2 linked regions of the Diceros bicornis minor genome follow. The protein of the gene in region 1 purifies or fractionates together with the protein of each later gene. This does not show direct contact. Links are inferred from orthologs where the notes say so. Each region holds a gene or a part of one and is shown on either strand. Other genes may lie near its edges.

Evidence for each region.
Region 2: the proteins of AKT3 (region 1) and CDC37 purify together in Homo sapiens (co-immunoprecipitation; 3 studies listed by BioGRID and IntAct, counting the BioPlex papers as one, with this or other methods). This does not show direct contact. The link is inferred for Diceros bicornis minor from reciprocal best matches to the Homo sapiens genes AKT3 and CDC37.

Annotation. Positions count from the first base shown.
Region 1 is NC_080777.1:1,522,042-1,529,472, forward strand, and holds the start of AKT3 (RAC-gamma serine/threonine-protein kinase), read left to right. Parts: upstream 1-4,418; 5' UTR 4,419-4,816; intron 4,817-7,431. UniProt on the Homo sapiens protein: AKT3 is one of 3 closely related serine/threonine-protein kinases (AKT1, AKT2 and AKT3) called the AKT kinase, and which regulate many processes including metabolism, proliferation, cell survival, growth and angiogenesis.
Region 2 is NC_080769.1:8,806,811-8,814,617, forward strand, and holds the start of CDC37 (hsp90 co-chaperone Cdc37), read left to right. Parts: upstream 1-4,690; 5' UTR 4,691-4,734; coding exon 4,735-4,836; intron 4,837-7,807. Other genes in the region: collagen alpha-1(I) chain-like, read left to right, coding at 2,866-3,338. UniProt on the Homo sapiens protein: Co-chaperone that binds to numerous kinases and promotes their interaction with the Hsp90 complex, resulting in stabilization and promotion of their activity. Inhibits HSP90AA1 ATPase activity.

The sequences.
Region 1 (7,431 bases):
CTTTCATCCAGACTGACTTGTGCCGTGAAAGAGGAAAACAAGATGGAGAAATAGAGAGAAGCTGAGCTAGCTTGCTTTCCCCACTATAGTCTTTCAGCCTCAAGAAGGCTTGAATTCTAAATCAAATTCAGTGTTCAGATTAAAATCTAATTTCTGAATTGAGATAGTGTTTGCAACTTAAAGAGGTCATAGTTCTGTCCAGTAACCAAAGGTCAATAGAAAAATTCTGAGACTGAATTTCCTCCTACTATAAAAAAGCAAATCAGCATTACTTAATGAAATATTACAAATTCAATAATTGAAGGACTTCGTAGTGGGTCAAAAAAAAAAAAAAGTCAGATGTAGATTTGAAACTTTCCAGTTGATTCTGAAAGTATTTTCATTAGCAGAAGAAACTGTGTTTTAAAATGGATGGGGGGACTTTCTGAAACAGAACTGTATTTACATGAGATAACTGAGGAAGAAGTTGAAGTAATTACTTAGGTGAGGGGTGGAAATTTACCGTCATTATTTCACTACTACCTGTTGTGTTGAAAAGTCCAGTCCCCACGGAGCAGATTCTGAAACAGCTAGAAATGCACACCACCTCCGGAAATTAAAATTGTATCCTAAAATGAGGCTCTGGGATTACAATATGTATGTATTAGTTTTATTGCATACCTGATTCTCCCGCACAGCCGGGAATAATAATTATGTATGCTTGTTGCTTTGGAATTAGAACATGAATTCTAGCTGGATGCCCCACAGCTATTTAACCGTGGTCAGTAACTTTCTGTGACCCAAGCGTCCTGAAATGAGATTGCTTAAGTTGCTAACAGGCTCAGCTGTCTAACAGAGAATGTGACAATATGAATGAAAAAGTTTTCATTCATACTCTAGCAACGTAGCAGGAAAAAAATCTGACAATGAAATAAGAGGGAGGTTTCCAGAGGGCTTTAAGTATCCCAGTTTCACATGGCATCAGGTTATTGACATACCTGTTCCTCAGGTATTCACATGTGTCACTAATACAGACATTTGACCTACACCTTAAGAAAGATCTGTGAAAAAGAGAAAAAGACAATTAGTACTGATAACTCTTGCAAGTGACTCTTCTTATACCTGGATTTAAACTATGCTCTTTTGGAAATTGCTCTATTAATCATCTGTAGACTGTAATCAGCTGTAGACTTAACATAGTTATTTCAGAAACCAACTATGGCAGAGACTGGCTGGTTGTCCATCAAACCTATTTCTTTTCTTCCTGGGCTAGACTCCATTTCATGGCCTGCCTTGTAGTCAGGTGGCTTGGGAGCGTTCTGGCCAGTGGAACGTGAATGTGCGTAAAAGCTTCCTTGAGTGATCCGCCATGCTTTTCCCTCTTCTGCCAGCTCGATGCTGTGATTATGTGTTGAACGTGTCAGAGTTCTTCACGGAAGAAACTTGGGCCCTAAGCATATATAAGAATAAAATGCCTGCCATTCAGAACTTTACACGGATGAGAAATACACTTCTTTTGTTGTGTGCCAGGATAGATTTTTGTATTTACTTGTAGCAGCTCGAGTTATCTTAACGAATATATTCACATTTATGGTAAAGGAATTTTAGCTTGCTGACCACTCACTATGTTTTAGATACTATCTAATATTTCATCACATTTAATTCTAGTAATAAGCTGATGAAGTGGTTGTAACTGTCATTTCACAAATGAGGAAATTAAGGCTTAGAAAAGTTAAGCAACTTGCCTGAGACATAAATTCTGCTGAGAGAGGATTTGAACTCAGGTCTGCAAGTCTCCAAGTGTGTTCATGATCTTTCCAATAAGCCACCCCAAGAGGACAGTACTGTATAAACTGCACATAGGGCACAGATGTATTTGTTCATTCATTCAGTCAGTCAACAAACACTTATTCGGTTCATACTTTGTGCCATGTCCTATCCTAGACACTGGAGACAAGATACTCTTTTTACTAAGGAAGAGAAGCATAACTTAATTTTTGTTACCTGATGTCTTAAAATTCTAAATATACCTTCTAGTTTAAGGTACTCCCAAGAAATGATGGAAGTACTAAGAAATAGCTCTCAGTATCTAATTTACTCATTGGCAGTCAGGAAGAGTGAATACTCTCCTTCAGAATCATAAATTACTACGACTGAGAGATGTTAGCCTGAAGAATATCCAGCTTAATAAAGAATGAGGGCTTTCTCTCTGAAATCTGGGAGGGACTTTCCCATGGATGAACACGCTGCCACTCCCCATATTTTTGGGATGTGATGACAAGGAAGAGGAGGAGAAATCAAGCTTACATTCTGTATGGAGTACCGTCATGCCACAACTGGCAGATTCTGCCAAATTCATGATGGCACAGTCTAAAAGGAAAAATAATGTTTTCAAAACAAATAATAGTTCTATAATAAATAATAATTCTACAATAAAAACCGACATGGTTTTATTATAGAAATTTATGAAACTACTATAGTAGAAAAGCAAAGTAGAGCAAAAATAAAAGTTTACAATTTTCAAATACATGAAGCCCAGAGTCTATAATCCATTGTAGTCTATACAATACTTAATTTTAGGGTTTAATCCAGCTAAGATTCAATACAATCTGATGAGACTAGGAGAAATATTTTTAGGCAGTATGGCTCATAAGACAATTTGGTTCTCACAAATATGTTGATGTTGAGATTGAAAACAAATGAAAATTGCAATTGATAAGAGATATCTAGTAATTCAGAATACTATAACTCTCAGAGTTAAATATTTAACAGAGATTTCTAGACAATCTTTTTAGTGCTGGTGTCATAAGGGACTATTTTCTTAAAAAGTGGGTTGCGTTACGATAGAATAAAAATCTGACCCATTTTTGTGTTTTACAGCAAGAAATCTGTAACTGAATCATTTTGCCAATAGAGACTGTTAGAGGGCTGATAATTATGGGAATAAATTATGTACTGTATACACAGAAAAACTGAATAGAATTAGGATACAGTCTTTTTATTAATTAATTCCTGATGTGCTGGGAAATACGGGAAAAGGAGAAAGGCAGCAATTGAGGACTTGTCTCTTGGGTGGACTGTGTATCTTAAAACGGCAAATTTTGTTCTAGAATGGTCAGGGAAACGTTTCCCTTACAAATGGAGAAAACTGACTTAAAAACAACCCCTTTTCTTTCCTATTAGGTTACATACTTCTGTCTACAATCTGAATAGATTTGCATTTCACAACAGAAAAGATGTGGACACAGATGTATAAATACAACTCACTATATAAGTACCAGGGATATAGTATAAAAGAATGACTACCATCACAACGTTGTCAGAACATGGAAAAGCAGAGAAGGAAGTGCGTGTCGGGAGGAGGAACTCTTCTAACAGAAAGAAGCCAAAAGCCTTAACAAGAATCTTGCACTGGGGAAAATAACAGGTACATCAAGGCTAGAGCCACGTGGCGAAATAATACGGCATTTTCAAAGCGTTCCAGAAGCGACAAACATGGTGCCAGAAAAAATACAAACTTTTCTAACTTCATGGAGTGTGGTGTATGGTAAAATATGGCCATTTTGCAAAAATAGTGTCTCCATGGCAAATATTCTCAGGAGCCATGAACTTCAAAAGAAAGAAATGGTTATCTTCTTTGTGGTGAAAGCAATCCAGGCAGGCTTCCCCCAAGTCAACGAAAACTAATGTCCCTAAAACGCGTGTAATTTTAAGAGTGAATCGCGGTCCCACTGCAACCTGTGTACTGTGTGTGGCTATGCCTGCTTCCAGGAGCACTGTGGATGGCTCTTCGGAGGGGTCTGGACTGGACAGTGCGGTCTCCTGGGAGAGTCGGGAGTGGTCTTTCGTTTTGGACTGACCCCTGGGGTGCGGGGACCCCCCCCCCCCCCAGCTCTCGAGGTCACCTCCCCAGGGCACCGCCGCCTCGGGGGCTTCCAGGTGCGGGTCCCACCCCCCGGGAGCCCGTGTGGCGGGAGGCGTCAGCCCGGGGCCCGGCCGCGGCGAGGGCGCGTGGGGGCGGCGGGCTCCTCCCGGGGCAGCGAGCCTCCCTCCCGGGCCTCGGGCGCCGGCCGCGGGCCACGCGGGCGCGGGGAAACCCGGCACTTCCCGCCCGGGAACGACTCCCCCGCTCCCGGCGCTGGCTGGCTGGCCGGGGGGATGTTCTCGCGAGAGGAGAGGGGCGCGGGCGCCGCGGCTCCGGGGGGCGCGGGGCAGCCCGAGGACGAGGCCCGGCGGGAGGGAGCCGGGGCGGCGGGCCGGGCCGGGGCGCGGGGACGCCGCTCCCGCCAGTCGCCGCGAGCCAGCCTTGACGTCAGGAGTTTTCCTCAAAGTCAACAACAAGCCCCGCAGCGGCGGCCCCCTGAGGGAAGGAGGGAGGGAGGGGCGGCGGCGGGGTCCCCGTGAGGCGAGGCGCGGCCGGCTGAGGAGGCCGCGGCCCCCGACCCGCCCCGGCCCGAGCCCCCGCGCCGCTCGCCGGCGTGCCCGGCCCCCGCCCGGCGGCGTTCCGTGGTGATGAATCGAATTTGTAGCCGATATCCGATTCCCATGTAGTCTCCGCCTCCTCCCGCCGCCGCCCGCCTCCCGCCGCCGCCACCGCCGCCGCCTCCCGCTCCAGCTCCGCGGCCCGGCCCGGCCGGCTCCCTCCCTCCTCCCTGCAGCCTTCCGCCTGCCCGCCGCGGCCGCCGGCTCCAGGGGCCCGAGGCTCTGCGGGGTGGGGGGAGGACAGGAGGGGAGGAGGAGGGAGGGGGACCCCCGAGTCGCCCCCTCTCCTCCCCCCGCCCCCCGGCTCCATCCTCCGCCGCCGCCCAGCAGCTGCGGGCCGCCGCCGCCTCTGCAGGTAACAGCCGCCGCCCCCACCCGCGCCCCCTCCCCGGCGCGCCGCGCTCCCTGCGGCCCGGCCGGCCGGCCTCCTCTCGGCTCCCCTCGGGCGGGGGGCGGCGGCGGGGGCGTCGGGGTTGTCACCGCGCCGGGGGCGTGGGCGGGGGCTGGGCGGCGGGCGGGAGGCCGGGGACGCGGCGCGGGGGACCGCGGCGCCCCGCGCTCTCGGGGGACGCGGGGGCTCCCGGCCTAGCGGCGCGGTGCGCGCCTGGGCGCCCGCCCGGCGCCCCCGGTCTGCGCGCGGCTCCGCCGGCCGCGGGGCGTGGGGAGGGTCCGCGGCCGGGGCGCGAGGTTATGTAACGCGGGGGCGCCGGGCCGGGGTTCGGGCGGGTGAGGCCGTCCGCGCGCGGGGGGGTGGGTGGGGTGGGCGAGGATGCGCCGGCGCCCGGGGGGCCCCTCCCCCGCCGACCCCGGCCCGCGCCCGGGGGAGCCGGCCGGCGGGGCGGGGGCGTGGGCGGGGGCCCGGGGCCGGTCTGCGTCCCTAATGGTGCTGGGGTTCTAATCCGCTCGGGAGTTGTGCGCTAAGAATAGAAACGTGCGGAAGATGCTGGTTTGGCGGCTCCAGTGATGCTGTCGCTGCTGGCGGCGGCGGCGCGGCTGCAAGTAAACAAACCAGCCTCTTCCTCGGCCGCCGCCGCCTCCTGCGCGTCGGGCCGCATCAGCCATGATGCTGGCGGGCCCTTCAGGGCCCCGAGTGGAAGCCCGCGGGCTGCCGCGTTCGCCCGGGCTCCTAGGCGCGGTCCCTCCGGGTCTGGGATTTCCCGGGAACCGACAGCGGGGCGGGGGTGCGTCTCTCTGGGGCCGGGTGTTCCGTACCGATGTTGAGTGTGGGTCTTCAGAAAGCGGAGGAAGTGTTTACCCGTGAGTCAAGGCTTAGGATGCCCTGATTTCTCCCATCAGCATAGTGTTGTGAAAATAAAACCAGCCCGTTTCACCAGCGTGGTAATGGGTTGGAAGCCCAGTAGTTTGGACTGGATAACATTTCCAAGTAGAAATTCGACAGTGAAACCTATGTGTCTGTATTGATTAATTACTAGTATTAATAAACTGTTCACACTGTTTAGCTCATCTTGTAGCTAAAAGGTATGAAATAATGACTTTTTGCAGTTAATACGTTGCCAGCTGCCTCATATCATGAGTTTAGATATGTCTTCCATATTTGGTAAAGCATGGTCATATTATATCTCTTAGTAGAGTATACCGTAAATCACTAGGCGACCCGTGGTTTTGTTTTTGGTGGAAACTCGTTAAATTAGGTTTACATTGTTAGGAAATAGTTGAAAAAGCCGAAGGTGGAAGAGTCCAATAAAGATGGTTTGGGCAAGTTTGTCTTCAGAACTTGAGTATCATTGCAAAATATGTATAAATGAAGATGAATATTCCAGGAGGTGGTTGTCTGAAACACACGCACATATTCAGGAGGTAGTTGTCTCAAACATGAAAATATCTTTTTTTTAGAGTATCTACCTATGAGTAAATTACTTGTTTCCCAAGGTATATGACTGAATGCACAGTTATTTGCAAGATATTTATCAAGACTGTACTTTTTTTTTTTTCTTTTGCCAATACATAAACTTGCCTTTGAAAGTTTACCGAGGAGACTGTATCTGAAGGTCTACTTTTTGTCTTTCTCACTAGGGTTAACCCCAGTATCTTTGATTGGTTGAGCTTCTCATTTTAAAGTGAGGGAGTGCACATAATATATGAATGGGACAACATTGGAATTCAGATGACTGTAGAGTTTTCGTTTTCAGTTGTATATTTGTGCTGTGTATTTGACGTAGTATGTTTTCTTGTAGTATTTAAAAAGTAAGATCTAGTCTCAAGTAATTCTATCAAAAAATTTCTGAAACTGTTATTTGTATTCATGTTGTCCCCTACACTTAGCCTTTCCATAATGATTACTTTAGTGAATTGTTTTCCGACTTAAAGTATTTAGTTTGACATTGACTCTTGGTTTAAGTTGCATGTTCAGAGTACTTAAGAGTTCTGCTTTGGACTTTTTTTGTTAATGTAATTTTATAGCTGTAAAATATTTTAAATAAGATTTCATTCATTCATTCAACGAATACCAGAGTGTGAACTGTGTGTGAGGGGCTGGTTTGATTAAAAACTGTCTTATTTACATTTCGTCCAGAAGATCAAAGAACGAGAATTTGTTTTCAGAATCACTGGAAATCTAAACATGTTTTTGTTAAACATGTCACAGGACAAATGTACTCAGCAGAGTCCTGTGCAAAGTAGAGATTTAAGATTTTTTAGACTCTAGATTTTGATTTAAACATATGAGATATTTTCTTTCTTAAAAAAGTTGAATGGAAATTTCCAACTATTTGGGTTTCTTTAAAAAGAGGAACCTGTTTTACAAATTGTTTTTCTGGAAGTTTAGAATTTACTTAAACTTTGCATATTTTTGTGAGAAGATAGCTATACTTCTTTTGTTGTTATACCTTTTAGTTCAAGAATTCACTCTTGGGAAGATAAGACGATTATTGTTAACAACATGTTAATTGAATTTTTAGCATTATTTGATAGGATCTTATAGTGTGATTAAGTTTCAAGCATTAAAAAATA
Region 2 (7,807 bases), on another chromosome or scaffold:
GTGCTCCTCCCAGCTTCCTGATTTCCCTGGCTCTGCTTTCACTTGTTTGTTGGTTTTAGACTTGTAACATTCTAACAAGATATAGAATTTACCTACTATTTTTATTAGCTATTGCCTGGCCTTTGATTAAGACATGAAGTCAGGATGTTGGTCTCTTCTGTCCCCTGCTGGATCTCCAGGGCCTAGGACAATGCTGGCATACAGTAGGCGCTCAACAAATATCTCTTGAATAAAGGAATAAATCTGCTTGACTTCCTCACCTCTTTCGGGTCTCTGTTCAGAGGCACCTCCTTCTAGAGGCCTTCTCCGACACAGATGCTTCCCTGAACCCCATCACTCTGTGCCCCTCACTCAGCTTTATCTTTCTTCTCAGCTCTCATCACCCCTGACATATTATTTATTTATGTTTCTGCTCTCCCAACTCCTTAGTTCCACAAGGGCAGGGGATTCTTCTGTCTGGTTCTAGCTGTATCGGGGGCCAACTTCATGGACACGTGACCTGTGCCTTCGCCCAGGGCCCCGAGCTTAGAAGGTTTAATACGCAGCTGTCATTGTCTTGAAATTCTTCATCCTTTTGAACCTGCATTTGCATTTTGCCCTGGGCTCTGCAAATTCTGCAGCCCGGCCTGGAACAGCCCATGGTAGGTGCTCAAGGATTTGTGGAGTGAAGGAAGGGTGGCCAGAGGAGCCCCACTGGCCGGGGTGGGAGAGGTGGGGGGGGGAGGGGGGGGCAGAGACACGTGTGCGTGCCACCACTGTCTGGACACCCGTGCGCGTTTGCAGGAATCAGCCCTGGCGGAAACCCAGGTTGGGGAGGCAGGGCCTCAGGAGCCAGCCTGAGTGCCCGGGTGGATGGGGGCACTAAACTGCCTTCCCCTCCCCCGGGCAGCAGGCCAGCTGGGGAGGGGCGTCCAGATGGCAGAGCAGGCCACTCTGGGCAGCTGGCACCCGGCTCAGGCTGGGAGAGGCCTTTTCCCCACCCAGCTTGTCAGCCACTGGCCCAGCCTGGGAGCCCCTGGCCTGGCCCGACATGGCTTCACCCAGCCCAACATCCTCCCTGAAAACAATATGGGGACGGGGAGCCAACAAGATGGAAGGAAATGAGGATAAGCACCCTTGGCCACACCTTGGCCCTGAGCCTTCAAGCCTGAATTAGGGGACAATCACTACTCAAGCTCCATGCCTGGAGCTGGAGCAGGGCTGAGAAGGACAGTCAGGGGCGCCGTGCGTGTGTGTGTGCACGTGTGTGTGCGTGCATGAGACTTTGTACCCAACTGTGCATGTGCAACCGGACGGGTGGAACTTTCTGTGAGTCTGAGTTTGCGTAGTTGAGATCAGACTGTACCTGTGGGAGTGTGTGTACAGGACAGGGTGACAGGTCATGTCTGTGTGTGACTGTCATATGAGTGTGTGTGTGTTGGGGAGGTGGGGTACATGCATGTGGATGCAACAGGAACAGCATTTCACAGTGGTTAGAAATGCAGATTTGGGGTTCAATTCTCTGCTCAGCCACTCATGAGCTGTATGGCCTCAGACACATTAGGTTCTCAGGCTTCAGCCTGAGTATTTGTTAGTATGATTACGTTTGTCTGGATTCAAGTGTGTGTGTGAAGAGTAAGCCACCTCCTCCAGGAAGTCTTCCTGGATGCCGAATCTGAATTGCACCCTTTCATTTTTCTTTCTTGTCAGAAGCCATCTATTTCCATCGAAGTCCTAATCATAATTTGTTGTTATATATTTATTTGTTTGTTTATGTTGTTTCTTTTCTGTTTCTTCCACTAAATATCAGCTCCAGGGGGGCAAGGAGTTTTGCTCTGTTCACTGCTGTGTCCCCCGCACCTGGCATATAGTAGGCGCTGAATACTTGTTGAATGGATGAATGCAGGGCTGTGTCTGCATGGTACAGAGGGAGAGGTGGGTGCTCGCTGGGCTCCCAGGGGGCCCTGTGTGCAAGTGTGTTCTCTACTCTCTTTCTTTCTCAGCTGTTCACAACCATGCCTTCAGCCATCCTCACTTTTAGGGGAATGATGTCCCCTTATAAACTCCCTGTATCACCGTTAACACCATCTTTTCCTTTCTCTGGGTCTTACGGACTCAGTTGCTTCATCTGTAAAATGGGAGAGGGGATGGATCGGTTCATGATAAGCTTCCTTCCTGATCTCAAGTGCCATGAAAATAGTTTTAATCTAAGCCCTTCTTTAATTCATTCAACATTTATGGGGCGCCAACTGTGTGCCAGGCCCTGTTCTAAAGCCGGCCCTGCCCTCGTGGAGCTGAAGCGAACAAGGAAGGCAGGAACGACCCAGAAATCTCATTTAATCTCCAACACCCCCCCACCCCCGCCCTTGCCTGATGGAAGGTTCGTCTTCACGGTCTGCAATCGCCGCGGGTACTTCTCTGTTTAGACACGGATCTTGCTCCCTCGCCAGCCTTGAGGGGCAGCAGAGCAGGGACCCAGCTGGTCTTGTTGGTGGCTGTAGCCCCCGCCTGGCCACAGCGCCGTGGCGCATAGCAGGCTCTCGGGAAATATGTGTGAAATGAGCTAAGAAATAAATGATGGAGGAAAGGCAGGCTCGCGTGCATGGCCCCTGGGCATCCTGGCCGTGTCATTACCCACTTTGCAGATGGGGACATTGAGGCTCAGGAAGGCAAAGCCGCTTGCCGGGGCCCACCGCAGCTCAGTAGCGAGTGCGTGGCTGTGGGATACAGCAGACGAAGCTTGTGTAGCCCAGAGGAGCACTCCCAGCCCCCGCGCCCACCTCACAGGTCCGAGAAACGAAGCAGGGGATGCTCTGACGGGAGGAGGGGGGTGGGAGACCGAGGGACAGTGCAAAGCAACTCAGGGGTCTCTGTTTCGGTCCCCAGGGTTGGAGATGCTGTGCTGGCAGGAGATTCGGAAATGCTCCTCGCTGATGGGGCAGCTTCCGGCGCCCTCTCTCCAGTTCTGGGAGCTGGGGCTCCTAGGACCCCGTTTCGCTGGCACCGGGCAGCTTCAGTCTCCGAAGCCGGGGAGAGACCCCCCCGCGCCTACCCGGGAATCCCCGACATCCGGGGTCCTCCCCACACACCCCGAGCCCGGAAGCCGGCCTGAAGCCTCCAAGGGCGTACGGGGGGGGCCCGGCTTTCTTGGGGAGCAGAGGAAGCCCCCACTGTCCTGGCCCCCTCCCTCCGGGGCGCCGGGTCTCCCTCCCCACCGCAGCTCGCAGCCCGAAGCTTACCTTGCAGGGGGGCTGGGGAGGGGATGCCCCGCCCTCTCCGGCCTGGGGGGCGGGAGGGGACAGGGGTGTCCAGACCCTTTGTTTGCTGGGGTGTGTGTACGTGTGTGTGCGCGATTGTGAGACCCGCTGGGGTGTGGGTCCTTGCGCGCGTGCTCGGGCCGTGACGGCCGCTGAGATGCTGGACTGCCCGGGCTGGAGGGGGAGGGGTTGGGGGAGGGGGAGGAGAGGGACTCCCCCGCCCGCCCACTCACGGGGTTGAATGGAGCTCGAGGGGGAGGGGCGGCAGCGGGCGGGCGCTTTTGTTTGAATGGCCCCACCTCCTCCCCAGGCCGGGGAATCCGCCCCCAATCTGGAGCCCTTTACTCCATCCCCTCCAGTCCCCTCCCTGCAAACAGCAGCTCTGGGAAGAGGCGCCCCTCACCCGAGTGAAACTCCTCCCATCCCACCCGGCCCCCACGGAGCGCCCTTTAATCTGAGATAATCCCGGCCCTCGGCTGCAACACGGCCTTTTATCCCAGTATCAAAGCGTGGGTTGGGGTGTACGCAAGAGTGCGGCTGGGGTCGCCCAAGCTCAGAGTAAGGGAGTCCTTAGAGCTCCGGCCGAGGCAGGGGGCCCCAAACGAAAGGGGAGGGCCTGGAGGGGTCCTAGAGCACCACGACGAGGAAAGCCCCCATCCGCACCTCCACGATCCCCCCCGACCCGGCCCTGCACGGGGCCAGGAGCCCTGACCGCTGGCTAGACATTAGCGACACCTAGCGGCCGCACGGGGAGACGCCGCGGGCGGGCGCCCGGGACCCGTTGCGGGGGATCCGGGTGATTCCAGAGTGGGCGTGTGTGCGCGAATCCCCGCTCAAGAGTGGCGGAAGATGAGGACGCTGTGCCCGAGCCTGGAAAACAGCAGCCCCCAAAGCACAGCCACTTCGCCCCCACCTCCGACGCCCCAAGGGCAAGGCCATATCCCTCCTCCAGTTACAGGCTCCCAGGGCAGGGCCCTGTACCCCTCGGACTGGGAAGGTCCCCTGCGATCCGACACACCCCTCCCCAGCGTAGGGTTAGGTCCCTCCCCACACAGGGCAGAGGGGCGGGTAGTTTCGCCGAGGCCCCGCCCCTGCAGTGGGCTCGGGCTGACGTCACTGCGGCGTGACTAAGGGGACAATCCTCTCCCTCAGTCTCACGAACTGTCCCCTCCACCCCACGGCCGCCGCAAACGCCCGACGTGGGGCAGCGGGAGATGCGGGGGGATAGAGGTTAGAGCGCCCTCCCGTATACCCCCAGGAGGTGCCTGGGTCCGGATGAGAGGGGGTCTCGGCGGGGACTCCCGGGGGCCAGCACACGTGCGCAGGGCCCTTTAAGGCGAGCTCGGTCTCCAGCGCCGCCGCCGCCGTTACCAAGGATGTGACGTCATGCGCGGGCAGGGGCGTGCGCGCGCAGGCGGAAACGGAAGGGGCGGGGCTCCGCGGGCTGAGCCTCCAGCGCTGCCGCCGCCGCCGGAGCGGGCTGGGCCGCCGAGGCAAGATGGTGGACTACAGCGTGTGGGACCACATCGAGGTGTCTGACGATGAGGACGAGACGCACCCCAACATCGACACGGCCAGCCTCTTCCGCTGGCGGCACCAGGTAGAGCGCGTGCGCCCATCCCCTTCCCCCGCTGCCGGGACTCCGCTCCGGAGTTCTGCCCCCCGATACCGCCAGGGCCCCGCCATTGACACCCGGGATCCCCACCCCGCAGTCTGGACTTTCATTATCGCCCGGGGTTCCTTGATTCAACTCCGGGACCCCAGAACTGCCGGGACCCTGGGTTCCTGCCCGCGATCCGGGCCCCGCTTCCGATTTCTGCATGGAACTCCCAGTTGATCCATAGGGCACCTTCTTCGGAGGCTAGACTCTCAAGATAAGCTTTGTGGGTGCCCCCCAATCCTGTCTGGGACCTTCCATCTACACTCAGAACTCTGCCTCAGAGTCTGGACCCGGGTCCTATTCGGGTACCCACTTTTCTTGGATATCCCATCGGCCCTCCCCAGTTCCTAGAGTCTGGACCCCTAATACTTTGCTTCTATTCTGGAGTCTTCCTCCCTGGGTCTTGACGGGGTTCCCATTCAGATCCAGAGATCCCACTCCTCCAAACAAAGCAAGGAGCTCTGTCTTCCCCTGAGATTTCTGTTCCTGGCCTGGGACTCGAAGCCATACCCAAGACTCCTTTCCTAGAGTGTAGACCCGTGCCCCCCCAGGGCCTTCAGTCCCATCTAGGACTAGAGTTTTGGAATCGTGTTCCCTTCCAGACTGAGCCACCAGCTCCACCCTGAGGGAGCCTCCACTTCCAGCCGCTCTTCTTTAGTGTCACCCACTGCAGACCTCATTTCCCATCACACCTGGAAACCCTACCCACGTGGCTCCCGCCCAGCCAGAACTCCTGCCTCTGCTGGGTAGTGCAGACCCAGTCATTGCCCACCCCAAGACAGGCTTCCTGTGGGAACCTTTGCTGGCGTTGGAATTGTCACCCAAACCCAAGGCCACCTCGCCTTCCTCCTGACCCCAGGCTGGTCTGCTGTTCTCGGACACCCAGATTGTCCTTGCCCCCACCAGGGACCCTCCCAGTGTGATTCCAAATTCACTGCCCCTTCTTTTATCTCTTTGCTCTTAAATCCAGACCCAGAATCCTAAGTCTGGGTGTCCTCTTGCCCCCCTCCCTGCCCAGCAGTGCTGGCAGACCAACAGAATGGCTCTCATAAGACCTAATGGCCTAACCTGCTCCCCCAAATCAGAACTCCTGTACCCACATACCTATGTTATACTCTCAAACTGAGAGTGTATATTTCTCAGAACCTTCCAGTTAGAAATTCCTCACTCCACTCTCCCATATGGCTACTCCCAGTCATTTATCCAGAACCTCCTAGAAGGGCCCTTCTCTGTCCTGCCAAGACAGGGCGGTAGTCCCTACAGCTGGTTCCCGGTTCCATCTCCAACCCATTTCTTAAAGCAGCTGTCTCTTGGCCTGCCGGGCAAGCCCCTGAGGTGTAAGAAGAAAGTTCTAGCATTTGTGCTTCTTGCCGTGTGTAACACCTTATTATGAAATACTTAAGACCTTCACAAAGCTCTAAAAGACTATTCTTGGGAACACCTCTTTCTGTCACATTCAGAGGTTAATCTATAGCTCAGAATGGAGAAGGGTTTGGTCCTGCTGGGTGGGAGGCGGGTGCCCCCTCTCCTGCAGCGTCTTCCTCCCGCCACGCCCTCTTCCCGCCTCCCTCCTGGCCCAGAACCTTTTCCTGTCCTGCTGCCAAGAGAGCCCCGAGGCTGTAGTGGAGGCAGGGGGCCTCAGCGGCTCCACCAGCAGGCAAGCCTGGGTTCTAATCCCAGCCCTGCCCCTTGCTGCTCTGCTCTGGGGGCAGCAAGACCCCTGGTCCCCAAGACCACTGTAAGAATGAAATGAGGTTGGGTCTGAAAAGAACTTGGCTCAGGGCCTGAGAGGGAGTAAGGTAGCAGAGGGGGCGGTGGGGTTAGTAAAAAGGCATCTGGGTGTGCTTCTGAGCACAGGCCTGCCCACCTGGCTTCACATCCTGGCTCCTGAATCCTTGACTTGCTGCATGACCCCCAGCGAATCTTTTGATCTCTCTGTGCCTCAGTTTCCCCAGCTGGCAGTATTAATAGTATCCACCCCAGAGGGTTGTTATAAGGGTCACCTTATTTGTTTAACGCTTGTAATGCCCTTGGGACAGCAGCCGGCATGTGATGAGCTCTCTGTAAACCTTAGCCATTATTGTCATCATTTTTATTTAGATAATTCACACTCATGGTAAAAAAAAAAAAAATTCCGAAGTTTCCAGAAGGGGACAGGTGAGGCTTCCCAGCTCCAGCTCCCTGGCTCCTTTGCCATTACTGGTTTCTTGGGGCCCTTCCAGTGAGCTGTGCGGCGTCAAGATTCCATGAGCCTCAGTTTCCCTGTCTGTAAGGCGGGGAGGCAGTGGCACCTTCTGGCTGCCGTGGCTTCCGCCCTGCCCGGCCTGCTGCAGCCCCTCCCGGAGGTGTAAAGCCCAGGCCGGGCAGGCTGCCGCCCCACCAGCTCCAAGCCCTTTATTTAGCTTCGGCCTCCCTGGCGGCCACTCAGACGACACCTGGGAGAGCTTGGTGGCCGCGCAGCAGAAGCCAGCAGGGCGGTAGGGTCCTGCTGCCAGCCGAGGCCAGCTGTGTGCCAACCCCAGAGAGCCCCTCGCAAGGCAGAGGGAAGGCTCCAGGGTGACGCAGGCCCACGGTGGAGAAGGGGAGGCGGCAGGGGCCAGGGCTGCCTTCTCTTACCCCTCCACGAGGCGAGAGCCTTCTCCACCCCTTATCCACATGGGGAGAGGGAGCTCCGGGTTGGCCATGCCAGCCCTGTGGGGCCTTAGAGAAGGTTCTCCCCATTCTCATGCTCCATGTGCCTGGCCCTGTGCTCGAACTCGTGATACAGCCTCGAATGAGGCCCAGACACAAGTCAGCAGACCATTCTGGTGGCAGTGGCCGTGACCACGGTCGTAACAGTGGGACCCGTCTACTGATTCCGGTGTTACCGGCAGTTTCTGTCGAGTAGCTCAGTCCTCACAGCAGTGCGAGG